Canis lupus familiaris: one gene and its partners. The main gene of each other region encodes a partner of the protein of the gene in region 2 in a complex. Links are inferred from orthologs where the notes say so. Each region holds a gene or a part of one and is shown on either strand. Other genes may lie near its edges.

Region 1 (10,827 bases), on a different chromosome or scaffold from region 2:
GGGAAAACAAGGTTGGAGTGGAAGGAGGAGTCAAGCCATGCAGGTGTTAGGCTATATAGGGGACTGCCTTTATTCTAATTGTTTGGAAAATCTGTCAATGGTTTATAAGCAATAAGAGACAAAATCACGCTTGTTTTGAAAGGATTCCCAGAGTTAAAAAGCAAGGGACACATAGAAGTAGGGGTAAGAATAAGGGGAGTAGAGACCATTTCCGTCACGCAGGCATCAGATGTTGGCATCTTTGATCGGGGTGGCTACAGAAAGTAGGCTAGAAATATATTTGAGCTAATATAAATAGGACTGGGTAGCTAATTGAATATATGGCATGACTCCTGAGTTTCTCTGTTGGCCAAAACCTTCCCAAATTAAGGCATATGCAGACCTGACATACTCATTCTCTTAAGAAATGTCTCTTTCAATAACCCTTCAGAATTCATTTATTCAAACACTGTTTATAGAGCACCTATTATGTATTATCCTGGCTGGTGGTGTTGCAGGAGTGGAAGAGGCAGTCTTTCATGGAGCTTTTGACTGTTGACACCAGACACTTTGGGTAAAATGGAAATTAGTGCCAGCACAATGAAGACAATATTTAAACTATGGGGTATGTGTGTGGGGGGGTAGTGGTGGAGGGGAGGTGATGGTGGTCAATTTTTCTTTTGGCAAATCAGAATGCCTTTTTTTTTTTTTTTTTTTTTAAGTGCTTTAAAGCCCCTTACTACCTCCCAGGCAGTGGGATAGACAGGAAGATGTACATTGAGGAACTGGGGAAGATGAGGACTCCCAAGGTCATAAAGCTATGAGAAATTATTGCTTAGGTTCAGGTCTTGCAAATCTGAGATGAAGGCTCTCTCTCTCCTTTCTAAAACTAAGACTATAATCAAGGAAGTTGGAAAAGAAGCCTACTGAAGAAGAGTATTCCTTTTCTAAATAACCGGTTTGAAAAAATAACAGATTCTAGTCCTTTCACCCTTGACTAGGAAAAGAGCACATTCCTCGATGAAGTTTAAGAACAAAGTGTGCTTCTTTTGCCTTCATCATAAGCTGACATAACATAGTCAGTTTCTTTATTGGCCAGAGGAAGCAGGAGAATCAGGAAAATTCTGATTTTTGTATTGATCATGGAGGTGAACAATTTCAGGTATGCATCTTGGAAGTTCATGCCAGTACCCTGTAGGGGAGCCTGGAACCAGGGGAAATAAAAAAGGCAGGCCTACATTCACCTTATTTGGTTCCTTTTTTCATTTGAGAAGCTGAGTTATGTGAACTATTCTGGTGCTTTGCCTCCATTACGTTATTTTACTTCTCAGCTAGTCTTTAGTAGATACCCACGAAGGGCTTTAAGGTCAGTGGTTTTTGTTTTCATTAACAACAAGCTTATATTAGAAAGTCTGATCCCAGGGTGGTTCTAAGGAGGCGGTCTGACTTTTCTTGGTCTACCTAATGTTTATTAGGTTTAAAAGAGACGTTAACTGCAGGGAAGACAAACTCCTATCACTTCTCATTTCTGAGCACTGTCAATGCTTACTCGACAGGCACATCACCTGGTGTACCTCTCCTTTACTGGAAAAAGGTTTCTCTTGTAGCTGCCATATTAACAGCACTCCTCCCCTCCCTCACAACCCACAACCCCCTCCCCCATGTCTGAACCGAATAGTCAATGACATTATTTATCAAAATAAATTTATTAAAAGTATTCAAAGACCACGTCAAAGTTTAGCTGCCTTCAGGACAGTTTTTGGCACTCATCATGAACAATGTAGTTTCCTACACAACAGCACTCGTTCTGTTCTAACACTTAACAATTCAAACAGACCATTTCAGTTTTAGTGTTACAGGAGACAACAGTACTGATGATCTGTAGTCGTATGAACTTCAACACCCTTGCACACAGTAAACATTTTAATATTACTTATTCTAAATAACTAAAACTAAAACCACTATGTGGTAATGGACTGAATTAGGGAAAGATATACAGCCAGCTAGCTAAGGCCACATAATCCCAGACCTATTGATTTTAAATGTGTTTGGACCAACAGTGTCACATCAGACCTTTGGGTCTCCCATTCCTGCCTTTCCAGTGTGAGTGAGACACACCACATTTGGACCACCTTCTCCCTGGGTTCTAGACAGAGCTATGGGAGCCGTCCCAACACAAGCTTCTCCTACACAGTCACCAGCTTCCTGATTCACTAACTCTGAATCAATAGTTCTGAGTGATGTTTCCTGAACACCCAGGCTAAATTCAAGGTCAGTCTTTTTGGAAGGTCGCAGCCTTTCCCCTTAGGAACAAAATGAAATGTCCTCCACTCTTGGGCTCCCCTTTTCGTCTCATGTAGCATGGGGCTCTGTGGCGATCTGTGGCTTTTTACACAAGTCCTGATAGAATTCTGACTCCAAGAAACGGGGATAAGAGTTGTTCTCCATCAAGCTGTAGACCCTTTTCTGGGCGGTTGTAAAGCAGCCACTTGTAGCTTCTTGTATGTTTTGGGCAATCAGAGTTTTGGTTTGAAAGTCTATGTTTATCTGAAATTATAAAAAAAAAGGGGTTTATTCCATATTCAAAGCTAGGGACTGATACCTATTTAATCGTTGAAAACAAGCAGCAAAAACTATAATGTGTGATGAGCTTCATTAGCCAAGTCATTGAAGAAATGAAATTAAGCGAATTAAAAACTAGAATTAGTTTCTTGAAACAATCTTGTCCCTCCCCCCTTTAATTTAATGTCTTTTTGTTTCATTTTGGTGCTAAGAATATTCAAAATATGCTGAATTGAAGTTCTTTTTTTGCCCCCCTTACCTCTTTAGGTGCTTCTTTTTCTATGAAATCAGTATATATTTTCCTTGCTTTGGAGGACAGCTTTTGGGGTGACTTGGTTTTTTTGAAGTCTTCGCAGGCCAGCCAGAACTCAATATTTTCTTCACAAAACTCAGATTTTAAAAAAGCCCTGAATGCAGCAAGACCATCTGGGGAGGAAGAAAGGGGGGAAAAAACATGCAGAATGTAAATTGGGTGACCAATTAATGCCTTAAAATTTTTCCAGAACTACCATTCTCCCATCCCTATATTTTATTATTTCTAAATGATGGCAATTTTCTATATTTCACTCAAACTTGTAACCCTCAGAATTTAGCCTTTTAAAGACTAAGATGCTAATAGGCAAAATGCATAAGCTGGCACACTGCTACAAAATATACTTAACTTTGCTTTTAATGCAAATATTTAGAGGGGAACCTAAATTCTCCGGGCTCCAAACCTCCTGGAAACCTTGTATGCAATGGAAAAAGCTGATTCAATTCAACCTTAAGGAAGAGCAACTGCCCCTACAATTTGGGCTACTTTTCCTTCCCTATCTACAGTGAAGAAACCATGTATTTCTATGGTTAAACAGGAAATAAAGGAGAAAAATAGGCATTAGATCTTTAGTGATTGCAAATTTGAATTCCCCTTGAGCAATCTGCTTTTCTGTTGTGAACACCTTTGTGGACTCTTGTGATATTTGTGATATCTTGTGAAATGGATCAAATTCAAAAGGTTAACTTACATTTACTGGCTAGCAGCTCATCAAACGCTTCTGACCACAGCTGTGCTTCCTCAGGAGAAGGCCTGCAAAAGAAGGTCTGCTCATTAGCTCGTGCACATCAGAATTCCTCTTTTCAGCTCAGCAGCTAGCTATTCATGTTCGCAAATACAAGATTTTTCAACTTACTTGATGAAGGTTTGCTGTTTGCTTTTCTTGCCATTTTTGGGCTTCCCAGGAGACGACGAATTTTGTAAGAAGTAGCTCAAACGGGTCTTCCAATCTTTTAATCTTAAAAAGAAAAAAAAAAAAGATATTCACTAAGTGACAACGTTTGAAATTGCTGTGGCAGCTGAAGGCATTTTTACCAAATAAAGCCACCCAGTAGCAACAAGAATCTTCAAGTCAGTCTTACTCATTTTACATTTAAACCTAGCACCTACGTGCTTAACGCAATTAGTTTCATCCCTTCATCTGAGCAGAAGTACTACTCTCATAACCAAGGGTAAGTCTACCTAGGACATTTAAATGAATTTAGATGGCATATTTCAAAAAGACAGATGCAATTTCTGACCCACAAAAGACCGCAGTTTTTCTGCAGCCTTGATTACAATTCTGAGACATTTCACACTTGAAGAAACCTAACACTGGAACTGCTTGGAGCCAGTGGGTGTTCATTTCCCTCCTACCCTTAGAGCAAGAGGCTCTGGACCACTCCAGAAGCCATGAGGCAGGGGGTGTATGTGTGTCCGAGAGAGAGAGAGAGAGAGAGAGAGAGAGAGACTGAGTTCCCCTGCCCCAGCCCAACTACAACACTCATTTTAAGCAGATGATGCATAACGATGATTTGCTGCACAATCTTTAGTGGGTGAATTAAGCAATTCAGTCAAAAAAAAAAAAAGCGATTTTAAAACGAGTATGTTCAGAACCAGCCAAAATATTCCAATCCGGAAGCTGTGCAAGCTGATCAGAACTTATAATGCAAGGCACCAGTGCTGGGGATGTGCTTCGGCCCCAGGATCCTCGGCTGCTACCTTAGACGCAGGGGCCACAAAGCCAACCTGCGAGGTCTTAGCCTCCTCATCCTCCTCATCACCACCGCCTCCCTATCTAACATGCTCTCAGTCCTAAACTACCCGAGAGTCCTTGGCTCACGCACACAGATTGAACCTTACTTAGCTAATTGCCCTCTTCCACATTTTTGCTTTTCCCTGCAGAGGCGCGGGTCGCAGGGTTTCCTAACGTCATCACGTTCGCAGCAAACCCGGAGCGCCAGGTGCGCAGCGCGGGGCGGGCGCCCGAGGGCCGTACTCACAGGGTCCGCTTCATCTTTTCCCGCTTCTCCTCGTGCTTGGGGCTGTTGCTCGAGCTCTTGTCCATGGATCCGCAGTCGTGCTGGACGGCCAGGAACATGGCACTTTGCATCGTCCACCGCCTGCCGGGGCCGCAGCTCTGCGCGGCGGGGCGCGGGCGCCGCCTTTATGGGCGGCGGCGGGGAGGGGGCGGGGCCTCCGCCGCCGGGCCCGCCCCCCGAGGGCACCGATTGGTCGGCTGCACCCGGGCGCGGGGGCGGGCGGCCCGGCCCGCGGCGGTCACGGGCGCCGCCGAAGGCTCTCGAAGCGAGGTGGGCTGACGTCCGGGGCTCGGGCTCCGGCTCCGGCTCCGGCTCCGGCTCCGGCTCCGTGCGCGCTCGGGCCCTCGCGGCGGCTCGCGGGGTTGCGTGTGGGATCGGACCGGGACGCCTCGCCGCCAGCCGCGCCCCGGCCACGGGACGACGGGACGACGGGACGACGGGAGGGGGCGCTCCCGGCCCTGGAGGGGTGCAGGCTCCGGCGGGGAGAGGCTGCTGGGAGCGGACCGGGGTGCAAGTGCTTTATTTTGAGTTAAGATGTTTTCCAACCCCCCGCCCTTGTTTTTTGGAGAGCGCGCCCTCTTCCCACGCCTCATTTCTTGCAAACAGGCCGCGGGGAGACCCTCCCCTCTTCCGCTGTGCGACTCCGTTGAGTTGGGAGGGGAGGAAAAGATGAAAGGGAGGGGCGGGGCGGGGGCGGGGGCGGGAGCGAGGGGGGTAGGGGCGGAGGGGGGCAGGGGGAGGGGGCGGGGGGCAGGGGCGGGGGGGCAGGGCAGGGGGGACAGGGTCAGGGGAGGGGGCGGGAGGGCAGGGGCAGGGGCGGGGGGGCCGGGGTGGGGGCAGGGGAGTGGGGCAGGGTCAGGGTCAGGTGGGGGAAGGAGCAGGGGCAGGGGGGGCCGGGGCGGGGGCGCGGGGGACGGGGGCGGGGGTGGGGCAGGGGAGTGGGGCAGGGGCGGGGGGGCCGGGGCGGGGGCGCGGGGGACGGGGGCGGGGGTGGGGCAGGGGCGGGGGCAGCGACCCCCGCGCGGCCGGGGGGTGGGGTGGGGGGGGGCAACCCGGAACCCTGCGGGGACTGAACGGTAAGCAGGGAAGGAACCGGAGAAAGGGACTTTATCCGACGGCCGTGTTTTAAGAGGGTGTGCAGCCTTGCTCCCCGCAACCTGCGTGATTGGGTCTTCCCGTGGGGTTGCAAAGCTTTTTCTCCGAAATCCTTGGTTGCTTCTCCTTCCAGGACAGAGAAGTCCCAGCTCTCCTCACGAGGAGACGGAGGGAAACACCAAGACGTGGAAACTGTGATGCGCCAGAGCCATCCTCGTCCTGGGAGTGCAAGGATGCAGGGTTTCCTCATGAGTCATTCTTGGCTGAGAATTTACCAGAACACTTAATAACTTGCAAAGTGGGGGAGGGAGGAGAAGAAGACGTGAAGGGTTTACTTGCATAATTTGGTGATTGTTCAAAAATCATCTGTGCGAAGGCCGGCTTTAAGTGTTTTTGAGTGGGAAGGACAAACGGAGAAGGTCCACAGTCGATGACCTCAACACAATTCACTCCTTGATTTCAGGTATCAGAGCCGTACAGTGGAATATTCAGATGGTTTCCCCATCAAGCATTTAAGTACAAAGTAAGACTCACAGCAAGGTATTGATTAGGCTACAGATACTCTCCGAGCTTTGCATTAGAACTGCCAAAAGGAAATTGGAGCTAGTTTAACTTCGTGCCCTGAGCAGCCAGTAGTTGACATGTAGGGTAAAATCTGCAGTTACTACTAAAGAGAACAGACATGTAGTTCATTATGGAAAGGAAAAAAAAAAAAAAAACATTTGGATTTCAGTAATAAATACTTCAAGATGTGTTTGTGAAATGTAAGAATGCTGTTTTTCTCATGCATATACTCTGTCTCTACAAGAACCTTGCATAGTATTTCCATCAGTTTTCACGTTCTGATTATTCAATACTTACTAAATGCGTGTGATCCCTGGGTGGCGCAGCGGTTTGGTGCCTGCCTTTGGCCCAGGGCGCGATCCTGGAGACCGGGGATCGAATCCCACGTCGGGCTCCCGGTGCATGGAGCCTGCTTCTCCCTCTGCCTGTGTCTCTGCCTCTCTCTCTCTCTGTGTGACTATCATAAATAAATAAAAATTGAAAAAAAAATAAAATAAATGCGTGTGATAAATAGCCCCTCTCTTTTTTTGTTTTTTTGCCAGTATAAACCTTAATACATCATTCACTTAGAACCTTGGATGGTAGTATGCATCCATAGTGGAAGGTCCAAGAGTTCTCATTAAGAAGCAGCAAGGAGAGAGAGCTGGACCTGCGTCTGGAGACCTAATTAGAGTCTTGGCTTAACCAATAAATGCTAAGTAACTGTTGGGACGGTCTCATCACACCCCCTGGAGCCCCAGTTTCTCATTTGTGCTAAGACTAGTGTATCTTTTTTGCCAATCTTATTAGACATTATGTGACTCATGTGAGGGGCCTTTGTAAATTCTAAAGTACAGAGGTTTGGTATTGTAAATTCGCACATATGTGAAAAAGGAAATATAGCTATTCAAGGGAGAAAATCATTAAAGGTTTAACTCAGTTAATTAGGTTATAAATGTGCAAATATGATTAAAATACCAAAATGATGTGTCAGATTTGTAAAGGCTTAAGCTCATAATAAGATACTTAACAAAAGCTTTCTGGATAATAAGCAAATAAGGAAAACAGTTTGCCATTTAAACTTTTTCAGAGATCTCTAAGCCAGGGAAGTTAGATCATCTCAATATATTCACAAAAGTGAATATATATGTATCTGTGTAAACAACTGTTTAAATGTAGACCATTTTAGATGTTTCTGTGTTTAATGTAATTATTTGCTTTTTTCATAAACCGTTTCTGATGGACAACTGATGGCAGCAAATTTAATTTTTTCCTGAAGATTATGAGGTCAGTTGATAAGTCACTGTGTAATGGTTGATCATTTCTGTGTGTAAAGTGATTTGAAGAGTTAGGGCAAGACCTGTTTCAGACTGATAAAACTTTTAGTCAAAAAATTGCCATGCTAATGTCATTTATAAGGGCTGCAGACATAGATTTAAAGCAAAAACTACAATGTTTGATGACTCCCCCCCCCCTTTTTTTTTTGTTGCAAGTGGCTTTTAGGTAAATGGGATGGCTCAACATTAAGATGACACATATTTTCCATTCTGTGGTGGAGGGAGAAACAATGCAATAGGTTGTAAATATTGCACAGCAAAACCACAGTTTGGTTTGCTGGAGAATATACATTCTCAATGTTGAATCTACCGTGCCCTCTACTGGAGAGGTTCTCAGAAGCCATTAGTGGTGGAGGTGGTTCTCCAAGTGGTTCTTGAACTTTTTGTATTTAAAAAAAAAATTAAATTACGGAAGAAGGCAAACAAAAAAATACAAGTCTCTAACAATACCAAAAGTAGAATATGGAAAGGAAAAGTCTCCCTGCCACAATTCTCCCCTCTGTATGCTCTTGCCACTGTAAGCTGTTATTACTAAGAATTATTCTTATTAGCTAAACTTGTTTATACATAATAAGTTTCATACTTAGGCTTTAGAATTTAAGAACCAAGGGAAATGCTTAAAGAACACACAAGAATCATTCTGTGTATTACTCCATGCTTTGTTTTTTTTCAGTCAATAAAATATCTTAGTTCTTAAGTTTGTAAAAGCTATAAACCTGTTGCTTACCTCACAAAATCATAAATTGGTGGTAGGCTTAAAAGAAAGGGGGGATAAAAAACCCTAAGAAGTTAAGTGCTCTGTGGCAAAGGGTGTGATGAGTAATTGGAAAAAAAGGAAAGTTTTAATACTGTGATTGTTGAGAGTATTTAAGGAAGTAAGACACCTACCTGTCCTTTACTCTCCCTCCCTCCAACCGCCTCCCCCTTTCCTTCTTTCTTTTCTTTCTTTTCTTTTCTTTTCTTTTCTTTTCTTTTCTTTTCTTTTCTTTTCTTTTCTTTTCTTTCTTTTTTTTCTTTTTTTTCTTTTCTTTTCTTTTTTTTCTTTTTTTTTCTTTTCTTTCTTTTCTTTTCTTTCTTTCTTTTTCTTTTGAGGGAGAGGAGTCTCATTTAACTTTAATTGGTGGAATTTTTTTTTTTTAACAGAATGAACACACGACCCCAAAAGATCCTATGCTTTTCTTCTTAATATGATCTGAGTTTTTAATGTCTTTCTTAGAATGCCGTTTGCATACCCAGAGGTGATAAGAGAGAAAGTTAGTGTTTCTGTTGGGAGTGAATCAGAATTCCAACATAATACTTGACATGTACTACCGAGGAGTAATTTTACCAATCTTTGCATTGGTAATTCCAGTTAGAGCACGTCTATGGTTCTGCCTTAAATTCATCCATGATGTGGGGTATGTCCTACTTCAGTGCAGGCAGGGCCTAATCAATTTGAGAACACTTTCCTCACTAAAGCAACTAGATGCTCTTTGAAAACCAGCATCATGATGTACTAGTCCCGCACCACCTCCAGATAAAAAATTCTAACATGTATTGAAATATCTCCAATAGGTTTCTATAGTTATTAGACATTATTCCTAATATATTAGGGCATAATTGCTAATATTAGGGCATTATTGCTAGTGTGTGCCCATAGCCACCGCTCTCTTCTGTGACCATACACTCCACAGAATCTCAAGGGACAGTTATGATTTAAATCCCTTCTTTTTTTTTTTTTTTTAAATCCCTTCTTTATAGAATAAGTTACATAGCTAGTATATTGTTTATAAAGTGGGGAGAGCTAAGAGTTTATTTCCTGGCATTTCTTTTGCCTGGGATTTTAATTTCTGTGCACAGAATTTTGTCAAATCACTAGAGTGTCAAGTGACCTACTGACTACTTTTTGACATTTAGGATATTGGGTTCATAATATATAAGATTTCAAAGGTCTGTATATGATACCAATCACCGAGAGTCAGAGAGAGAGAGAAGAAGGATTGCTCTTCATCTAAGACTGCATTGGTATTTCCAGGTTACGGACTATCCCTATGTAGAAAGTATTAATCCACTTTAGACTTTGGTTTTCAAAGATTTTTGATCCATGGACTACTTCATAAGAAGCTAAAATCTTGTGAAGTTTCTCTACAAAACACATTTTTGGAACAAAAATTCTCAAATCTTAATAAAATCAATTGGAAGAACAATGTTTTCAAAGAGATACCAGTAGGCCTTGATACATCTGTCATAAATATTGAAGTCTTAAATGCTGAGCTAATGGCACTAGACCTCAACATTCTTAGCTTCAAAAGACAAAATAATTTTGCTTTTCTTTTCATAAATTATCCCTTAGGAGAGCAGTGTGGTTGGAGGTTTTTTCCAAGCCTGGGATCCTTGTGTTTAGTTGCCAGTTCCTGGTATGATTTTAGTTATGACCTCAGGCAAGTTGCTTAGTCTTCTTGTGCCTAGGCTTCCTATCTTTAGGGTGGAAGTGATTATGGCAACCTCCCTTTGCAAGGAAGTTAAAACAGGGTGGGGAATGCCCTAAGTGATGTAGTGCAAAAGGCTGGCCTTCAGCATAACACGTTGTAGCAGGACTACTTCTTTTCTAGGGGACTTTTTCCTATCTTGTTGCTGCTTTGTTAGCACCCACTGTTTGATGCTGCTCCTAGGGTAGTATGTCTCCCACTAAAGCGGAAGGGTTGAATCCAGAGAAAGCCCTGAGTATCTCCTAATTCAAGGAGCACCAGGACAAGTTCCATCCTGCTTCTGTGGAGGCAGCACTGTGTTAAGGATCAGGGTGGCTTAATGGGGGAATCTTACCCCTGTGGTCTTCACCCTGGAAGAATTGCATCCTGGATCCTATACTATCATTGCCTGGTACTCCTTTCTTGGGGGTTTATTCATCCATTGGGTTCCCTGGTGGTCCCCTTGGGCTCTTCTAATGCCCTCTTGGGAACAACGGGGATGTAAGGTTACTGTTTCAAATGTTTTAAGT
Region 2 (10,101 bases):
TATTGAGGTTTTGAATAGCTGTATGAGCATAGTTCAAATTTCAGAATGGACTGTAAAGTCTTCACATGTTAAAGCATTAGACATAGAAGGACATGTTCAATATTGAGTATGTTTGCCAATTTGTGTAATTTTTCAACTTTCCTCTGTCATTTGTTCCTTTATTTAAAATTTTTATCTTTGAAAAGAGAAGAGGGGAATATAGATGTTAGATGAAGTTTCAGAGAAGGATGGGCATAAAGTGTTATTATTAAGAAAGGCAGCTTCTAGAGGAGGGCTATTACTTGGCTGAAGATCTTGAGTTTGACAGCATTAACTGGAGTTCACAATGGTTAGTCTTGTTTTTTGCATACTTTTGGGTGCATGAGTTTTGGAAACACACAAGTATTAGGAGTTTTGGGTTGTGATTTCACCTCTGGTCTGAAATGCTTTTTGCTTGCTAGTTTATTGTCCTAATGACCACTTACGATACAACCAATTGCTCCTTTTCCCTCTTTACTTTTCCTTTACCCAGTAAGTATGGGTATTTTTTTAGTATCTGCATCTTAATAGTTATTTGGAACTCTCCTAAGGCAGATAAATATGAGATTTGAGGTGGGGAGAGCATCCCATGAGATTTCAGTATATGGGGTTTTTTAAAGATTTTATTTATTTATTTTAGTAATCTCTATCTCCAGTGTTGGGCTGAAACTCACAACCCTGAGATCAGAAGCCGCATGCTCTGAATGAGCCAGCCAGGCGCCAGGTTCTGTTCTGTTCCTTTCTCTTCTATCTTGTTTTTAAAGATTGAGACCTGGGTTTGTTTTTAAACTATTTGACAAGTAAGGGTAGGTAGAATAAAGCAAAATAATCAGAGTTCTCATAGCCCTTTTCTGTCCTCTTTACAGTTCATGTTTTAGGTTTAAAAACGTTAGCCACTTATAAAGCTTTTTGACTCATGAGTTTTGATCACATCTCTTTGTAACTTTCTTTTCCTCTTGCTCTTTTCCCCCCCCCCCTCTCTTATTTGAAGGATTATTATTCCTTGGGGAATCTACAAACTGAATTTTGCCCCCAGGGATTTATTTTCCCCCCTAGGCTTCTAGACTTCTTAAATAATTCAGTCTCCTCTTCCTGTTCCTCTGTCTGAGCTGAGGAAGAAGAGAACACTTTCCTTAAACTCCATTAATGTTTTACTCGCTCTGAAGTGTTTAGACTTTACCTCTTACATGCTAGTTTTTTTGTTTCTATTTTTATTGTAGGTTTGTTAACAAAATGGTAATGTGTTACATGTGTTTATATCACAGACCAGGTTTTTTCTGTCAAAAAGCTATGAGTAAGCAGGGTGGAGATATGTAAGCCACTCAGAAGAGATCTTTTTAGGAGATAGTGGTATGTGGTGGGGGGACTGAAATCATTCCTCAGCTCAGCTCTGCACTTCTAACTACAGTGGAATGAGTAGGGGGAGTGACTTCATTGTAAATTCTCTCAGACAGCCCTGCCTGGAAAGATCTCTTCAATACTTCTCTTAAAATAATGAAACATATAATGTGCGTGTCAAGTTCTTTAAGGAGCGGAGAAGCATTCTGTCTCTTAACTTCTTTCTTCAGGATGATGCCCGGCAATTATTTGTTTTGGCTGGCAGTGCCGAAGAAGGAGTCATGACTCTAGAACTAGCAGGAGTGATTAAACGGTTATGGCGAGACGGTGGCGTGCAAGCTTGTTTCAGCAGATCCAGGGAGTATCAGCTCAATGATTCTGCTTCATAGTGAGTAATTTTTCCATAATAGAAAATAATTTGGTGACACTAAGAAAGTTCAGAGTCTGTCCTTGACAAAACCTTAAGTAACAGACACTTTTAGAAGTCTGTTGCATGATTTCAGGTTAGGGTAATTACAAGCCCTTCGTCATTTTGTATGACTTGGAGAACAACATTGCCTCTTGGAATGTAAATGGGAGAATTAGTACCATGAAAAGTAGCTCCATGGTAGTTTATAATAAGTAAGTGAAAGAGGAGAGAAATCTTTTGCAGCTGGATCCTGGATCTCTTCCAATGCAGTTCCTTCTGCATAAGGACTTTGCATTAATTGCCAGCTAGTGAGGGAAATTAGAAATGTGATATCCCTTTTTATGCATCCAACTCTGTGGCTGGCCTGCACTATGGATTTCTCTGGTACTGGTCACCACTAATAAATCTTTGGCCAGATCACAATAGTAGACTTTGTACAGAGAATGTTGAGTCTTAGTAAGAAGTCAAAGCATCTGTTTGTCAAGGGAATTCTGTTAAGTGTTAAATAGTTTGAGAGAATGTGTAATTAATACTTGTGTGAGGCTTTGATGTGCTGATTTTGCCTCTTATACAACATGTGTATATATAAGATCTATATTCTGAATGTAGGTTTTTAATGTGCCTTTTGGAAACTTGGTGAGTTCTTTGTACCTGTATCTATCTCTGTTCTAATTGGAGGCACTTTTAAGTATTAAGGTATTTTCTCCAATATTCACATTTTCCTATCTTTCATTCTTATTTAAGTTGTTGTAGGAAGAAGTTAAATTATATTTGAAAAACTTAGTTATCTTGAAATGAAAACTTAACCTTAGAAAAATTTCAGGATTCTTGCCCACCTTTTTTTTGTTTTTGTCTTCGTTTTTCTTTTTCTTTTTCTTTTTTTTTTTTTTAAATTGGAGTTCAATTTGCCAATATACAGCATATCACCCAGTGTTCATCCCGGCAAGTGCCCCCCTCAGTGCCCGTCACCCAGTCACCCCCCCCCCCCCCACCTACCTTTCCACCACCCCTTGTTCGTTTCCCAGAGTTAGGAGTCTCTCATGTTCTGTCATCCTCACTGATATTTTCACTCATTTTCTCTCCTTTCCCTTTTATTCCCTTTCACTATTTTTTATATTCCCCAAATGAATGGGACCATATAATGTTTGTCCTTCTCTGATTGAATTATTTCACTCAGCATAATACCCTCCAATTCCATCCATGTCGAAGAAATGGTGGGTATTTGTCATTTCTAATCTTGCCCACCTTTTAATATTTTTTAGTTGCATATGTTGGTAGTTTCAATAATTCTCCCAGTAGTCATGAAAGCTAGATTGTTATTATTTTTTATCATACGTTCATTAAGCTCTAAATCCTTCAACTACACCAGAGAACATGTGATTTATAAATTTTTTTTCCTGGGGATCCCTGGGTGGCTCAGCGGTTTGGCGCCTGCCTTCGGCCCAGGGCATGATCCTGGAGTTCCGGGATCGAGTCCCACGTGGGGCTCCCTGCATGGAGCCTGCTTCTCCCTCTCTCTGCCTGTGTCTCTTCCTCTCTCTCTCTCTCTCTCTCTGTCTGTCTCTCATGAATGAATAAATAAAATCTTTTAAATAAAAATATAAAAGTAAATAATTTTTTTTCCATAATATTTGATTGAGACTTGCCTGATTCCTTAACATTGATGGTAGTACTTAGTTTTATAGAGGCTCATTAATGATTCACTTATAATAGTGCTACCTGTTCTTTAGTTTTCTAGCTAAAAACTCTTTAGGAATCTGAAATTACCAAAAATTTAACTTAGCTTTAAAAAAAATTAACTTAGCTTTGAAGCCGTCTTTTAATTAATTCCCTGAATAAATTTCTTGGAAGTATTTACAATATTTTTGACTTAGATTTTAAAAAACCCACAACTTTTTTTTTCCTGAATAAAACCAGAAAATATTCTTATTGAACATAGTTCTCATTTTAATTTTAGTAATTCAAACACCATTCTCTAATGTCCCATCAAATGTCAGAACATACAAATGACCTATTAACTTTAAATGTCTGAAGGCTTTTGTTTTGGTTTTTCTCGATTTTTTTTTTCCAAAATTTTTTATTTTTAAGTAATCTTTTCACCCAACATTGGGGCTTGAACTTAAAACCCTGAGATCAAGAGTCACATGCTCTACTGACTGAACCAGTCAGGCACCCCAGAAATCTTTTTTAATAAGAATGACATTTCCATATTTGTTTCCTTCTAATTGGCCTTCACAGCTTAATTGTGGTAGAATTAAAACCCCCTTTGTGTGGCATTTATAAAACCTACATTAATTGTCCTATGCTAGATTCACATTTTTTTCCTCATCATTTCTGTGATACCGAAGCTCTGATTTTGTTCTGCCACTTTATTTTTTATTTTGTATGTTTTTAAACGATTTTATTTATTTATTTATTCATGAGAGACAGAGAGAGAGGGAGAGAGAGAGAGAGGCAGAGACACAGGCAGGGGGAGAAGCAGGCTCCATGCAGGGAGCCCGACATGGGACTCGATCCCAGATCTCCAGGGTCATGCCCTGAGCCGAAGGCGGCACCAAACCGCTAAGCCACCCAGGGATCCCTTGTTCTGCCACTTTAGTGACAGGTTTAGAATCTACTTTTGGCAAGGAACTAGTTTAGGTTGTTGATTTGGTGTGTACATGGTTAGCTTCACCAAGTTAAAATAAATGTGTGTTTTATTTAGTTACCTAAATGATTTGGATAGGATATCCCAAACCAACTACATTCCAACTCAGCAAGATGTCTTGCGGACAAGAGTGAAGACCACAGGCATTGTGGAAACTCATTTCACCTTCAAAGACCTATACTTCAAGTAAGTCATTATTTTGCTAGATGTGCGAATTACAAATATCTTTCCTTTAGTTTGTATCTTTAATCAGGGTAAAATTTCTCCAGGCCATATTCTTTGCTTTAAAAACCTATCATCAAAACAACCAACTAACCAACCATCATATTCATCAGCCAGTATTTGAATTTTAACTGAATGAGGGCCCAAACCTTTCTTCTTTCTCCAAATAGCATCAAATACCTTTGTCTATTTGAGAAATTTAAATTCAAAATTAAGTTGTAAATATCAATAAAAGTAATCACATGGTTATCTATTTATTTTATTTTTAATTTTAGTCTTTTCAGCTGCTTTTTTGTTGGAATCGTCAAAACAGGTATTGAATGTTTGTTGTTTAGAAGGGGTAACAATAATACTAAGTATAGATACTTAGTGATGTGGCTTTGTTCTGCCATTTTGATATTAAAATAGAAATGCTTTACTCACCAGTGTTGATCTTTCCTTACCAAAGCACATTTCCCTTTAAGTTTAATGGAATGGAGCTAATATTGTCATGGCTCTTGGACTGATTTGTGCATAATGTCATGTACAACTAAGTTCTTAATGTAGTATGAATGGAAAATTGATATAGACATAGAGGTATTTTGGTAAAGTATGATAACATAAAAAGTGGTTTTAGAGAGAGAGAATTCTAGTACATGAATACAAAGGACTTTCTCATTAGCATTAGTCTTTCTAAAATAGGCTTCATCTTGTCTCTGTGTTAATGGTCTTTTGTAAATAACTGTCTTTTTGGTTCCCGTTTTCTGCTTTTGTGACCTTTAAGATTAGGAATAAACTTCTCTTCAATATATGATGTTTGTTCCAGCTACCTCATTATACTTGTATGTAGTCTGTGATAATCATCACTTTTGCACAAAATTGTAATTTCTAGCTGAGAGCTTCTCCATGTTCTTCTCTCTGAAAACAGTTACTTCACAGGATTTGTGAAATCTACAGAGTTCAGGTATTACTAGATACCATTTGAGGTCTTGAAATCTTAATAAACCAAAACAGATCTGAAACATGGTGCAGGAAAATAGTTCAGCTGAATATTAGTAGAATAGAAGAGCTGCTTATTTTTTTAGGACTGATATATTTAACTAGAGTAGCAAAGGCCATATGAATTTATCACCTGTGCAACCTATAAGAATGAGATGTCTTTTTGTGTACTACAAGATCAGTAATCCATTTATAATTAAATGTGGTGAACTTTATTTAGTGTGGGAAACATTCTTGTTGATGTTGACATGGGTTGATCTTTAGTTGGGTAAATCCTGTTGGTCTTGTGTCAGAATCAGTAGCCAGCTCTAGTTAAGATGCCACACCCACTTTATTATTGGCATAGAGATCTTGTTATGAAGTACTATCACTTCTTCCTTTTCCTCTTCTCTCTAGGCAAAACCACTATCCATTTATTCAAACACTTATTGAGCATCTGCTATATGCAAGGCATTGTGTAATTGCTTACTTGCCTCTCAGTTATGAGGTAATGTTTATAACATGTTGATCTGTTAGTGAATTATATTGTAAATGTTATATGTGCTAAAAGCCCACCCTTGGGACGTCATGGTATTCTGCAACTTTTATGGACTTTGTAGAAGACAACAGAGGGATAAACTGAAATTATTGCTGTACCAGCATGTGTCTCTCCTTGAAAGATTTCTGTGGCATATGTGATGTTTGCTTTCCTAAAACCTATTATATGATCTTGTATTAAAGCCAACTTGTGATTGCATCATTCCAAGTGTCATGTCCAAAGGCTGAAAAAAACCTATGCTAGATCAACCACAAGAAAAGACTGGGTTGTAAACTCAGTTATGTCTTATTTCTCTTGATCTTCAGGGGAAAAGTCTTTGGAAATAGACATTGAGTCACTTTAGATCTGGCATACTAAACCAGCTTGGCAAAGTTTACCTTTTAAAATTTTGTCCTTGTCATTAAACATCTATCTTCAGAGCATCTAATCATTTGTATACATACCTCCTCAGATGCTGGTACTAGCTAGAGGTAGAGCACTGCAGGTGTTCCTCTTACTGTAGGAGGTAGATGAGGACACTGTTGACAGAAGTGCAGTAGGTGGGCCAGGATGTCAAGTAAGCCCCCCAGAAGGGAGTGGTGGACTGAAACTAATCAGGAGTGGAACATAAAATCTGTGAACAGCTGAGGCTTTGTTATTATTGATTAGATTCAACTAGGACATAGAGTTGGGAAATAGTGGTTATATTGGGCTCTTAAGAGTCCTACCCTGAAAAACAGTTTACTTTCCCCCCGTAATTAATCTCTGAAATATTTTTTCCTTAAAGTAAGGAAAACATACCTCAGCCATACCTCAGTTAAAAAAAAAGAAAGTTAAAAAGTAAGGAAAACAAACTTTCTGGAAGCAGAATGCAAGTTGGATATTTCTATTTTTTATTGTTCTCTTTGACTGAAGAGGTAAACCATTTTGGGGAGTCGAATGGTGTTACGGCTAAGAGCCTGGGTGCTGCAGTTAGAGTGCCTGGGTTCAGAGTCCCAGTCCCCATTTGCTAGTAGTGTGCCCTAGACCCAGTTATTTACCATACCTGTGCCTCAATTTCTTCATCTGTGCACTGGAAACAATAGTACTAGCAGCAGTGTTGTGAGGGTCAAAGGAGTTAGTGTACTTAAGATGTATAGGATCATGTTTGGTACCATGGTAAACAATAAATGTTAATATTTTGTTACTATTATCTTAAGTTGTATTATTTAGCTCTTTATTTTTCCTGTCCTTTTTCCCCCCTCCTTCCTTTAGTCCATTTCAGTGCTTTTTCTGCTGACTTTTGGCACTCCTGATAACAAACTTAAAGGAAGTGCAACTAGTTACCTAAAACGAGGATTTTGATTGTTCCTAGATTTTATTTTCTCATGTTGTTCTCTTTTACTTTTAACCACAGTATTAGTTTGACTGCATTTTATCTGCTCCTTGTTTGTCTTTTCTATTATAAATGGAGTTTTGAATATACATTAGTGGGAAGTTCTCTAACCACTTCAGTTTAGGGAGAGGTGTATTTGTGACCTTGCTGAATTTGTGCATTCTTTCCCTTTACTCAGGATGTTTGATGTAGGTGGCCAAAGATCAGAACGAAAAAAGTGGATTCACTGTTTTGAGGGAGTGACAGCAATTATCTTCTGTGTGGCCCTCAGTGATTATGACCTTGTTCTGGCTGAGGATGAGGAGATGGTATGTGGATCTTCTGTTTAATGTAGCCAGGAAGTAGAAAATAATTCGTAGGAAGATGTGCATTCATTTGCTCATTGAACCAAATCTTGATTCCTTAATTTTTTTTTCCTGTCAGTGAGATTAGACTTAAAATATTGATCCATGCCCTTCTTATTCTTTAAGAGGTAGGACAGCACATTGAGTATGTGGGCAGGATTAAGGCCTCTTGTTAGCCAGTCTTCTTCCCACTTCCCAACTTCCAGGGATTACGAAAATGAGGATTGACTTAGCTTTTGTGTTATCAGTGTCTAGCTTATTTCCATGAGTGCCATTCAGTTCTTCTAAAACTTATTGGTCTGTTTTTTTCATGAACAGTTCATGCACTTTTACCTTTTGCTACTGACATCATTTTCCCCCCTCAGAACCGAATGCATGAAAGTATGAAACTGTTTGACAGCATTTGTAACAACAAATGGTTTACAGACACTTCAATCATTCTCTTCCTCAACAAGAAAGACCTTTTTGAGGAAAAAATAAAGAGGAGTCCATTAACTATCTGTTATCCAGAATACACAGGTAAGGGATCCTGAATGATTTTGTTGGAGGTACACATCTTAGATCAACACTTCAGTGACATTGTTAAATTTGTCTTTTATTTTGAACAATGTATGTATGTCCTTATGGAGAGTGTTCACTGGTAGTGATATTAGCATTAAGCATGTGATTAAGACCCTTTAAGTCTAAAGTGCTATTCCAGATATAATTGAGTTTACTATGTATATTACATTTCTGTCCTCAGTTTTTGAAGAAAATAGAGAAAGATAAAAATAAAAATTTGGTGTGTTTCCTTTTTTCTAGAGGAAATGACATTTGGAGTGAGATAATGAGAGGATGAATTAGAGACCACTAGGCAGACAGAGAATTAAAAGCTTTTTAGGAAGAAGGAATAGTGTATATGAAAATAGGGAGGTAAAAAAAAATGTCATGAGGGGTGCCTGGGTGGCTCAGTTGGTTGACCATCCGACTCTTGATTTCAGCTCAGTTCTTGATCTCAGGGTCATGAGTTCAGGCCCTGCATTTATTAATAAAAGTAAGTAAATTTGTTAAAAAAAATTTTTGTTTTTGGAACCTAGAAAGAATTTGATATTGCCAGAGTTTAATGTGATGGGAAAGAGTCATTAGAGTGATAGGCAGAGATGCTCATGGAGGGCCTTGTATCTCATATGGAGATGGTGGGGCGCTATTGAAGGATTTTGATTGGGGTACATGATATAGTGGAAACTGTGCTTTAGAAAGATAAGCAGTAAATAGCAATAAAGATAGTAGGGAGTTGAATTAGTAAGGAGTCTCTTAGGATGCAAATAAAAACTTTAGGTGAAGATACAGGGATATATCCTAGAAGCCAAGGGCAAGAATGCAGACATACCTTAAGAATACATTTAGGAAAAAAAAGAATACATTTAGAGGGGGATGCCTGGGTGGCTCAGCAGTTTAGCACCTGCCTTCGGCCCAGGGTGTAATCCTGGAGTCCTGGGATCGAGTCCCACATGGGGCTCCGTGCATGGAACCTGCTTCTCCCTCTGCTTGTGTCTCTGTCTCTCTGTGTCTTTCATGAATAAATAAATAAAATGTTAAAAAAAAATCATTTAGAGGGCACCTGGGCAGTTCAGTTGGTTAAGTGTCTGCCTTCAGCTCAGATCATGATTCCAGGATTCTGGGATTGAGCCCAATTTTGGGCTCCCTGTTCAGTGGGGAGTCTGCTTCTCCCTCTGCCCCTCTCCCTTATTCCTGTGTGTTCTCTCTCTCAAATAAATGAATTTTTTTTTTTAAAGGGAGTTCTTCCTTTAAAAAAGAGGAATGCATTTAGAACTAAGAAATAGAAAGCTGTCAAGGACTCTGGAAGCACCTTTTCCCTGTCTCTTTTTTTTCTCCTTCTCTCTGTGTATCTTTATTCTTCTCTCTGTTTACCAGCCTTCTGTGCTACTCACTTTATGTGATACAAGATGGCCCTGCCACAGTATCTCTCCTGTATTCAAAACACCAGGTTAGGGGCACTTGGCTGGCTTAATCAGTAGAGCATGCGACTCTTGGTCTCATGTTGTAAATTTGAGCCCTGCACATTGAGTGTAGAGATTATGTGGAAATAAAATCTTAAAAAGAAAAAAAAAAAGAAGACCAGGGTACACTGATAGTGGCTGGCCCCAAGTTCAAATTTCTAGAAGAGAGATTCTGGCCAGTATTAATTTAGGCAAAAATCCTTAGCCCAGTCATTCAATCAAAGTTAGGGACACAAATATGAATGCCGGGCTG
Region 3 (10,705 bases), on a different chromosome or scaffold from region 2:
CTATGGATATGTTTCTCTTAAAATGCATTTATAATAGTTGTCCAGTTAAAAAAAAAACAACTAGAAACATGGGGATAAATACTACCTCATTATCTGTCCTCCCAACCAACAAACAAAGCAGAACAAAACAAAAAACCCTTAAAAATACACAAAACTTTTGTTATTGTAAGAGGGAAGAATTTTATGAATGATTCAGAAAACTTCTAACCACAACTGTCCTGCTGGGCTGCTTATTCTGTCCACTTGATGGCATGAGTGGCATAAGAAATACCCCTGGGCCTTGCCCCTACCCTGCACAGCAGTGGCTGCCAACTCTGCTGCATATTAGGATTACCTTGGGAGCTTTCAAAACTGCCACCCAGACTGCATCTCATATCAATGAAAACAGGATCTCCGTTTCACTCATATGGGGAATATAAAAAATAATGAAAGGGATTATAAGGGGAAGGAGGGGAACTGAGTGGGAAAAATTAGAGAGGAAGACAAACCATGAGAGACTCCTAACTCTGGGAAACAAACAAAGGGTTGTGGTAGGGGAGGTGGGAGGGGGTGGGGGGTTGGGGATGGGGTGACTGGGTGTCCGGCACCAAGGAGGGCACTAGATGAGATGAGCACTGGTGTTATACTATATGTTGGCAAATCGAACTTAAATAAAAACAAATGAAAAACCAAACAAAACACCAGGATCTCCGGGGTAAGAGACCCAAACATCAGTATTTTTAAAGCTCCCCGTGTGATTCCAACTTGCAGTCACAGCAGAGAACCACTGCTGTAGATACACTCAACAATGTTTTGACTGAGAATTATTATAGCCTTCACAACACTTTTATAATTCGAATTTAGCTTAACCTTGTCTTTCATCCAAACCACAAAGAATCAAAACCTTTACTTTTGGTTCTTTATTTACTTGGTGGCAATTATATCTTGTGCCTCTTGGCTACAACAACTTACTTTAACAGTGTATTTAAAAAAAATACTGTACAATATGCCAAATTCATAAGATGCATATTTGCATATTGCCCAACACATTTACTGATAGGGGCATTGTTAGATCATCTTGCATAAAAGTTATAGAGCCAGGGCTTCCCCATGGGAAATACCTTTAATTCCCTGAAGTAAAGATTCGGGAAATGATGACAAGACTTTTTTAGTTGCCACATGCATATAAAACGATAATGTCTACCACCAAGGAAATGGAGACTCCCAACATATAAATGTGAATTTCTCAAAGGTGCTCCTACAAATTTGAAATATTAGACACTGAAAAAGATAAATTCAATTGTGATTCATAATTTAAAAATTGATATAAAGGATGTTCAAAATTGAGCCGATTCTCCCCTCAATGGACATTTAGGTTGTTTCCAATTTTTCACTATTATAAAAATGATGTCATATATCTATGAATATTAACATGAAAAAAGCTTTACTTCATAGGGGAAAAATATGCAACTTTGAACAAATGTTCATCAAAACACTTGTTTCAGTGAACTGTTTACTAGTATTTGAGACATCTCCTCACCTGGGTTGAATTCCTGCAGGATGGACACTATTGATTCATATATGCTCTATAAATATTTGTTGAATGAAACAGAATTTTTTCCATTTCTAGAACATGCAAGACAATGATTAAGTTCCTGTTCTGTGAGAAAGTATACTCCGCTTCCCCCTGAGCTAAACTTTCAACCAGAAGATAGGCAGACTTTTAAGGGAATAGGACTAGGGACAGATATTTTGAGTTGAAAGGTGGGGTTTACATCATATGGTTTCATTCCTTTTAGTAAAGTCAGAAGGACGGCCATTTATTAAATAAAGGAAGGGAGTGGAAAGTAAATGACTGAACACTTTGATAAAAAAGACAAAGTTCTATATACAGTATACTTAAAAGAATTTTGGAAGAGTTGTGAAGGTTTAGTTGACATGGTTGATGCTGGAGTCTCAGAAATCCCAAATGGTCATGATACAGTGCCCTGACTAATTTAAAGGTCTTTTATGCTAATGTAAAGCCAGAGGTAGGAAAACAGCAAGCTGTAGGGACACTGGGCATGGCAGTCCTTATGTCCTGATTCCTGTTTACACTGCTGCCCCATCTGAGAAGACCTGTGTACCTGGGGGATGTAGAAGAGGCCCAGCAGGTTTGCCACAGCCGTGGAGATGCCCGAGCCAGTTGCTCCCACCACAGCGATAGTAGAGGGGATATGCTCTGAGCAGTTGCAGAACTCGTCAAGGTTCAGAGAATCAATTTTATTCTGTGCCACAAAACTCAGAGTGGCCTCCAAGGCTTTAGAAACGGTGTTGCAAGTGTCAAATATTCTGTATCCCAGTGTCATGTTTGGAAGAAGGGCTGGGCTGCTGTTTATTTCCTCGATGGCAAATATCATTGCTTGTAACCAACGAAACCCGCGGAAATTGTACCTGGAAGAAAGAAGAAATGGAAGGAAATGGGAAGCTTTCTCATCAATCGCTTGAGGATGGGGACTGAGCAAGGCTGGGTTTGAATCATGGCTCTGTTACTCTTTGGTTTCGTGGTGTGTTCTTTGAGACTCAGACAATGGGGACAATGGTCAAGCATTGTAACATGGGGACAATGCTTACCTCATATGGTGGCTGTGAACCTGAGATAATTATGCAAAATTCTCAGCCTGGTGCCTTACATAGAAGGAGCAATGATAGCACAAAGGTTGTTATTAGAATAGAATGAATAATTTGTATCTGTTTCATCCAGCAAAGAGTTTGAAGTTGCTGATATGAAGTATTAAAAATAATACAGAGATTTTAAAAAAAGGATTAGGGAAAATATAAAGAAGATTAGGATTTTTAATAGGTGGGAGCCTAGAAGTAACTTCAGATTTGCAGAGTCACAAATTTAGATTATGACATTACTAGAGGTCAAAGGGGAAAGGGAAATGATAGATCTCATCTTTGTAAACTAACGAACATTTGTAGGAAGGCTGTTTTTGGGGGTTATTTCGGGGTGGTGGAGTGATGGGTTTTATAAATGGGCTTTTGGTTTATTTATATAATCTGTTATAAAAAATGAGCGTGCATTGCTTTCCAAAGAACATTATTTTAAATAAATATCAAGCAGATTAAACAAAGAGAAGTAGGGTTAGTGACTTAGTTTTCACTCTCCCAGGATCTGGCTCAGAGCGAGGACTAGGTAAGTGTGTTGAATCAGTGTGTCAGTCCCCAAAGGGGGAAATGTAATAACTCCACAGGCTTTTTCTTTATGTGGTAGGTTACTTGAACTCAATGACAGGAGGTAAGAAATACAATTTGCTATACTCCACTCTATTGTGTAGGTTTTTAACTTTTAATGTGTTTTCTCTTAGTCATTTTCTTTATCCATCACTTTTTTGTTTAGCTATTTGTTTTAACCCTGAAAAGTTAAGAGAGGTTATAGAATATTTCTTTACATAAAATACTTATCTGATTTTACTATCTTTCTTTAACATAACTTAAAATTATAGTATTTCGGGGCTTCTTGCTTGATCTTAGGAATATACGTAGCACATGTGCAATTCTGTTCAGTAGGGCACCTGTCCACATGGGATGTGTGAGGGGATATAATTAGCCTAACTGAAATTCTGTACTTAGTTTTCTGTATTCATGAGAAAAATGTAAAAATGTTATCTAATTTTCCAAATTCGAACATGAACGGAAATCGTTTTGTTGGAGCAATTAGTTTTCATTTTCATTTTCCAGCAATCAAGAAGAGCAGAAAAAGTGCCGGATCCCTTCCGAATGTTGCAAGTCTCAGAGAGAAAGTGGTATTTTCTCTTAGAAGTTGGGTAAAGACTTGGGGTACAGTCATGGTCTCTGATATCTTTGTGAAAGGAGGTGATACATGGTCCATTCTACTCTGCAGAAGTCAGATCTTGTTTGATGGAATTGTGCCTAATTCTAGTTGCCATATTCTAGGAGAGTCGTGATAAATTAGGGAGCATTAGATGAAGGGCGATGAGAATGGTGAAGTGTCTGGAAATCATGTCATGAAGTAATTGTTCAGAAAACCAAGACTCAGGCCTGGAAAATAAGTGATTCAATGGGACATGTTAGCTGTCTTCCAATGGCTGAAGAGAGAGTTCAGTGAGAGACTTAGATTAATTCTGTGTTTTCTCCATTGGTGTTAGGTGTATTCTGTTTTGGGTAGGAGGATTTTGGCTTTTTAGAAGAAAGACCTCCAAAATATTGTGGGTTGCATTTTGAAGGTGCATGGGTTATGCCAACCACTGAGGTTTCTTTCGACCCTAAAATCCTTTTTTTGGAAAAAATGAGAGTGAGGCAGCCAACACTCAACACTCAACACTCAACACTCAGCCAACACTCATGCAAAGGGATAAAACTGAAGACAGGAATGCCTATTAGGAAATAGTTGCAGAAATCCAACACTCAGCCAACACTCAACACTCAGAGCACTTAAGGTAAATGGGAGATTTTACTACTCAGATTTGCAAGACCTAAAACAAATTTCCTTCTAGGTACTTAGTCTTTCATTAGGCAACACTGCTGCCAGGTGAACAATGATGATTCAGTTACCATGTGACCAGACACATACTCCCAATAGGCCATGGATTCTTCTACTCAGTATCTTTGACATTTTACTTTTTGAAAAATTTCTTTTAAAAAGGGGAGTAGAATAATTTCAGCATGACTACCAATCACCATTTTTGAAAAGAGAGAACCAACTTTTTTTTTTTTTTTTTTTTTTTTTGAGAGAGAACCAACTTTGAATAAATTACTTTGGGTTTGGTAGAGTTTTTCTACAACCACCAGAAGACAAGAGACCCTATGACTTGGGTCCTTTCCTTACCTGATACATTCCACAGACTCCGGCCTTGACTTTAGATCTTGATCTTTGGCTGCTACTCCAAAATGAATAGGAAAGAGCCCCCCAAGGATAATGTCCCCTTTCTTCTGGGCTCGTTGGTCAGGCCCATAGGCAGAAGTGCACCAGGTGATTGCCAAGAGGATCAAAGAGCAGCTGTGAAATGCCATAGTGATGCCTTCTCTCTTAGGGGGAGAGACAAGAGTGCTGGTGGTTTGGGGGTTGCTGGAACTTTCCCCCTTAGTGCAGTTCACTTCCTATAGTGGGGGCACATGTCTACAGAATGATTAATAACGGAATGGAAGCTGTGATGTTTGAATATCCATTTTTGCCTTTGCCATCGTAGACTAGTAAGGTGGGTGGTCCTTGAGTCTTTAGAAGCCACATTGTGGAAAGAGTGTCTGTGATGCTTTCTAAAAGAAAAGAGAGACAAAATGAATGAATTCAGCTAAGCCTAAGTCCCATCTTGTTATGATGACTGCATGCAACTGACATGGCTTAGAATTTCCATTTAGAGAGGCTGAGGAGTAGCAAGAGGGGAAGCCATGACTTAGAGTCTCATTTTTATAGCACTTCATGTAAGATACAGAAAACTTTACTTGCCCATATTGGAGAAGGACTGTGTTCAGTTGTGAGGCCACATTTTAAAGAGGTAAGCTAAGGCCTCTACTGATGCTGTTATTGGATTTTAATCCATTCATTCTTCTGTGTGAATAATGCACAGAATTTTCTTAGTAGAAGCAGTTCCTTGCATTATTATAATATAAATGACATTTTATTCAGCGCCTATGTTCTTACAGAAATACAGAATGAGTCATATTTAAGTTTAAATCTGGCTTTAAATCAATCAAAAATGTCAAAAAAGGCCACCTAATCTATATTCGTCCCTTTTTTGTACCTTCTTATCACAGATCTCTGGCTTCAGTTTATAATATGACACTCTATAAACCTTTGAGGAATAGTTCTTATAAAGGATGCAGATAAATCAAAGGTCAGATTATGTTTAAAAGTTTCAACAGCTGGATCTAAGGAAAAGTCCTTCTGCTTTAGCACAATTATCCTAGTGGGAAATCTTTGTTCTTCTCACTCTACACCCTCTCACCCATTCTCTGGGTCAAGGTCAAATGTTGGGTAACCATACAGCTTCTCCTAAGGTTCAGGGCCAGCACTGAACTGTCATCTGGCCATCTCCACCTGGATGTCCCACACGTGCTTCCAACTTGACAAGCTCTAAACTCACCTTCCTGCCAAACTTGTTGCTACTTCCTTGTTTTTTAATGTCAGCAAATGAAGTACCATTTACAAAGACACAAAATAAGGAGTTATCCTAGACTCCTCTCTCTTCCTATCATTGCCTTTCATATTCAAACAATCACCAAGTCCGGTAGACTCTGCTTCCTAAATTTCTAGAATCCATCTTCTCCTTTCCTTTTCTGAGGCCATCTTAAGTCTGCCAGCATTTCATATCTGGATTTCTGCAACTATTGCCTAATAGGCATTCCTGTCTTCAGTTTTATCCCTTTGCAGTCTATCTTTGCAAATCTTAGGATGCCATGAAACACCTGGTTTGGAGCACAGGCTCTGATGTTAAACCTGGCTTTGAATCATAGTCTCACTGTTTTCTAACATATGACTTAGGTAAAGTCATTTTTCTGTGATCTCAATAAAATAATGCATGGAGAGATCTTAACATAGTGTAACTAGTAAACTCCCAGAAAATGCTAGCCACAATCCAACTTTACTCTTGGTGGTCTTCTCTTTGAACTTCACACTCCAGTTATACCAAAATTCCACCAGTTCCTCAAGTACACCAGGCCTTTGTAAAATCCCAGGCCACACACATGCTTTTCTCCCTCCTTGGTCCCTCTGGCCCAAACTTTGCTTGAAACACATCTACTTATCTTTCAGTTTTTAGATGCTCATGACTGTGGGTATAGCTTGGCAAACTGGGGCTTCTGTGTGAATGGAGAAAAGAACTCCTATGGGCCAGACACAGCCCTGCACTAAGGCATCCAGCTTGGGAGTGAGGCACAGTTTGGATTTCCACCCATACTAATCCCTCATTGTGCAGTGAGTAACTTGCAGGACTCTTCAAGGAGGCCTTCCCTGGACCCTCAGACTAGGCAGGTCCACCTATTATAATCTTTTACATCTTGGATCTTGGAGTTCTCCTGTTGGGAGATTTTTCATATTTTATTATGATTATATGCATAAATGTCTGATTCCAGAGCCCAAACCCTTAATCATTGTTACATGCTGTTTCTTGCCCTGTAGGAACCCCACCTTCTCCAACAATCATTCTAGCAGAGGATACTGGGACCCACGTGGAAGGAGTACCCCCACAGACACTCAACATTCATGGAATTGTCTCTAATAATGTCTGACCATTCATGACCTCAGGTCTGAACATCCATGATCCATCCAGAACTACCCTGGAGTAGTTCTCTGACTCTAGTTCTGCATTTAGATTTTTGGCTTCATTTCTTGGATCTTGGTCATGCATTCATTCACACATTTAATAAGTACATGTATTAAGGACTGGAAATATAAAGGTAACAAACATATGCATGTTCCCTGCATATTATTGAACCAGGCATTTAGCATTTGTTGTGTCAGGTCCTTTATACATCCAGTGTTTTTTTAAATTTCACAACTGCAGTACCAACTCCACTTTCCAGGTGGGGGAATAGATTCTCCATATATTCAGCTTACTCAAGTGAGAAATTCTGGCACTTGAATTAAGAATGCCTCAAGAACTCAGAATTTTAAGAAGTCCCGAGTAGGGTACTGAATTAGGAGAGGGAACATTATGACTGGTTAAGGTAGGTCACTAAGACCTGTTAAATTTTTCCTGTCAAAGATTAACTACTTGGAGAAGTTTATTAACTTCATTAGTCCATTCAAGAGAAAATTCATGGCAAGAAGTAATAGATCAAGGAGAGATTTCAGGTCAATTTGCAGCAGTTAACTCCACCAGTTTAATGCAGTCTCCAAACCACCCTTTTTAGCCCAATTACGAGGGCCTAATTTGCTTTAAAGCTGAATCATTCTCGATCCTCTCTCTCTCTTTCCTCCAATATCCAATCACTTTGTCCTGCTGAATCTACCATCTCTCTCCACCCTGCCTTCTCCTTTTGATTGCTGTTGCCACCGCCTTACCCAGACTCCCACTGCCTCCCTGTTTCCTTATTGCAAAAGCTTTCTTTTCCTTCTACCTCACTCATGCTGTCATTGATAAGGACAATCAGGGCAGTACCAAGTGTGATCATAGCACAGTGGATTAACAATTGGAGTTCATCAATGTGACCTCAGCTTGCAGTAATGAGAATACAAAAGTTCTTGAATAATCACTAACACTTCAGTTGCAGTATCTGCAGTAGAGACATCTGATCGTATCCCTCATGTCTGTATTCCTTGTATGCCACACTAAAATCATTTTTAGCTGGGCATGTGGTTATCCAAAATGAAAGCCTCCACCCCAACTTCCTTTATAATCATGTGTGGTCAATGGGATGTAAGCTGAAGTGCCTGTGACAGCCTCCAAGAAACTGCTTAAGAGTTAGTGTTTATCCTTTGTCCCTTCATCCCTCTACCTTCATTCTGCTGCATGGAGGTATATGTGGCAGGTGGAGCCCATCTTGAACCCTGCACCATATCTTAGGGAATGATGGTACCATGACCTGATGATTTCATGGAGCAGAACCTCCGTATCAGACTGTTTCTGGGCTCTTACACGAAAGATAAAAAAGCTTCTAGCAGTATAAGTCATTATTATATTTCGTCTTACTGTAGCTATATCAAGTATCTATCCAAAAGTCACAAGTAAACTCATTTGTTTTCCTTACTATAAGTTCATTTCATTTAAATCATATATAATCATGTTTGTCCTCCTGCAAAAAAGTATTGTAAACACAAGCTAAAGCTAGTATTTGTTCTTTATCTCAATGGCAGATATATTTGGAAGAAGAAATGACCCGTGTACCAGCTGGTTTTATGTTTAGAAAGCCCTTGAAATCATGAGGAGTGTTTTAGTACTAACAGATGACCGATCACTGAGTTCCTTCCTAATCCAAGAGATGTGGGATGGCAGGTCAGGGCAGACTGGTCTATGGCTCCATAGGTTAATTAATTTGCAAATTCATCTGCAATCATTTGTTCATCCAAAAACATTCATTGAGCTCCCCATATGTGTTAGACACTAGGGAGTGCAAGGTACCCAGGAGAGAAAGTTGAGATTGCTGCCTCCAAGATGCTCATGGTTTAAAAGGAGACAGAGATATGTATTCTAAGTAGAATGATGCAAGTGCTAGAAGGAGGCATGAAGTAGGTGTTGAGAGAGTACAGGAGGAAATACTGCCAGGAGAATTAATTCAAAGTGGGGACCACATGATGTGATGAGCACTGGGTGTTATACTATATGCTGGCAAAATGAATTTAAATAAAAGAAAAACAAGCAATATATTTGTACCTAAAACAGGAAGGAAAAAAATAATTATGTCTGTATAAAAACCCCCCAACAAAGTGGGGACCAGAAGCTTCCTGAGGGTATGGCTTGTCTCTTCTCATCACTGTAGCTTGGCACCCAGCACAATGCCTAGAACTTAGTATGTGCTCCACAAGTATCTGCTGAATGAATGAATGAAGCATGACCAGTAAAAACCAGGGGCTTTTTTGGGCAACTGTAGGAGAAAACAGAAAAGGGGTCATCCCACAAGACCAAAGGTTCCTGAGGGGAGGGTCTTCATCCTGATTAAAGTTGCATTCCCAGCACTGAACATGGAACCTGGTACTGAAAGGCGCTCAATATCTGCTGAACTTGCATTTGTCCCAAATGTTCCAGAGTCGAGGGTGAATTACCAGAGGATAGAAGGGCGAGATTAGAAGGCAACATTGCCACATTTCAATTTCCATCAAAGTAAAAACCACCCTGGCTCTTGCCCCTTGGCTTTAACATTTCCAGAAATTGTGTAACTCTAGAGAAGAATGATTTTACCTACATTTCAACTAGAGAAAACTGAAGCATAGATCTTCTGAACATAGGACCACTCAGTTAAAAAACAAAAACAAAGACCCAACAAAAACCAAAAACCAAAAACCAAAACACTCAGTAAATATGAGGCATGGCAAGCTCAAAAACTGCAATTTCTTGATCCGTAGGCTGCAGAAATAAAAATTCTAGGTTGCCTAGAAAAAAGGCGGTTATGAAACCAAAATTGATTTCCAGTAGAAATCATCTATCTACATAGAGTGAGTACATTGATTTGTCTGTGATTTATTATACTATAATCTTTGTCCTCTTTTGTCATACTGATCATAAAGACAACTAACAATAAGGCCTGAAGCCACCGTGGCAGAAAGGTGAAATGTGTATATTTTAATGAGGGTGACTAGGGAAAAACCTGAGAAAGTTCAACCAATAATCACAAAATCCGTGTACCTGGCTCTGGTTACAGCTTTCTTTACCTCTTGCTGAGGACACATCCACAATATGGGTTTTTATGCACACCTGGTGTGCATTTGCTCAAGAATTAAGGACATCTTATCTGCCATCATTAATGTGACCATTCCCAGTTCTGTGTCAGACTTCATTCCTTCTGTGTTAAAGCAAGGGACATCTTGCTTAAAAATGAGGGCTCTCTTTCAGCACTGGGGGAACACAAACTCCAGAGTCACACTCGGCTGCCTCCCTCCAGCCCTGCCTGCTGTTCCCCCCGCCAGCTGCACAGTTTTTACCCTCCATCTCCCTGACAACAGGTGTGACTTTTGGAGAGTCCATGCCTCATTTAGCCCTGGTAATGGCTTAATTGAGTCGGAAAAATGCAAGGACAGGAGCGTGATAAAAACCAGCTGAGCTGGGTTCCTGTTAGGCATTGGAAAAAG

What was found. Proteins that work in one complex are often made in the same cells at the same time.
Region 1: the proteins of GNAI3 (region 2) and RGS2 are in contact, whole or in part, in a crystal structure (PDB 2V4Z), measured with the Homo sapiens proteins. The link is inferred for Canis lupus familiaris from reciprocal best matches to the Homo sapiens genes GNAI3 and RGS2. Residues at the interface, in NP_006487.1 of Homo sapiens: Val179, Lys180, Thr181, Thr182, Gly183, Ile184, Val185, Gln204, Ser206, Glu207, Lys209, Lys210, His213, Ala235, Glu236, Asp237, Glu238; in NP_002914.1 of Homo sapiens: Glu104, Phe105, Glu108, Asn109, Glu143, Ala144, Pro145, Glu147, Ile148, Asn149, Asp151, Phe152, Leu180, Asn183, Ser185, Arg188.
Region 3: the proteins of GNAI3 (region 2) and CASR are in contact, whole or in part, in a cryo-EM structure (PDB 8SZH), measured with the Homo sapiens proteins. The link is inferred for Canis lupus familiaris from reciprocal best matches to the Homo sapiens genes GNAI3 and CASR. Residues at the interface, in NP_006487.1 of Homo sapiens: Ala31, Lys32, Gln304, Glu308, Lys314, Asp315, Thr316, Lys317, Glu318, Ile319, Tyr320, Thr321, Phe334, Asp337, Ala338, Thr340, Asp341, Ile343, Ile344, Lys345, Asn347, Leu348, Glu350, Cys351, Gly352, Leu353, Tyr354; in NP_000379.3 of Homo sapiens: Lys644, Ala645, Asn647, Arg701, Val702, Val705, Phe706, Ala708, Lys709, Pro711, Thr712, Arg716, Trp719, Phe801, Ile869, Val872, Arg873, Thr876, Ala877, Ala880, Phe881, Lys882, Val883, Ala884, Ala885, Arg886.

What each region holds. Positions count from the first base shown.
Region 1 is NC_049259.1:6,816,157-6,826,983, forward strand, and holds RGS2 (regulator of G-protein signaling 2), read right to left. Parts: upstream 4,996-10,827; 5' UTR 4,947-4,995; coding exon 4,837-4,946; intron 3,813-4,836; coding exon 3,711-3,812; intron 3,608-3,710; coding exon 3,546-3,607; intron 2,968-3,545; coding exon 2,801-2,967; intron 2,527-2,800; coding exon 2,332-2,526; 3' UTR 1,667-2,331; downstream 1-1,666. Other genes in the region: protein SPT2 homolog, read left to right, coding at 5,003-5,403, 6,104-6,257. UniProt on the Homo sapiens protein: Regulates G protein-coupled receptor signaling cascades. Inhibits signal transduction by increasing the GTPase activity of G protein alpha subunits, thereby driving them into their inactive GDP-bound form.
Region 2 is NC_049227.1:42,737,739-42,747,839, reverse strand, and holds part of GNAI3 (guanine nucleotide-binding protein G(i) subunit alpha), read left to right. Parts: intron 1-1,586; coding exon 1,587-1,744; intron 1,745-4,469; coding exon 4,470-4,598; intron 4,599-7,682; coding exon 7,683-7,812; intron 7,813-8,213; coding exon 8,214-8,367; intron 8,368-10,101. UniProt on the Homo sapiens protein: Heterotrimeric guanine nucleotide-binding proteins (G proteins) function as transducers downstream of G protein-coupled receptors (GPCRs) in numerous signaling cascades.
Region 3 is NC_049254.1:26,034,282-26,044,986, reverse strand, and holds the start of CASR (extracellular calcium-sensing receptor precursor), read right to left. Parts: upstream 4,996-10,705; coding exon 4,811-4,995; intron 2,413-4,810; coding exon 2,106-2,412; intron 1-2,105. UniProt on the Homo sapiens protein: G-protein-coupled receptor that senses changes in the extracellular concentration of calcium ions and plays a key role in maintaining calcium homeostasis.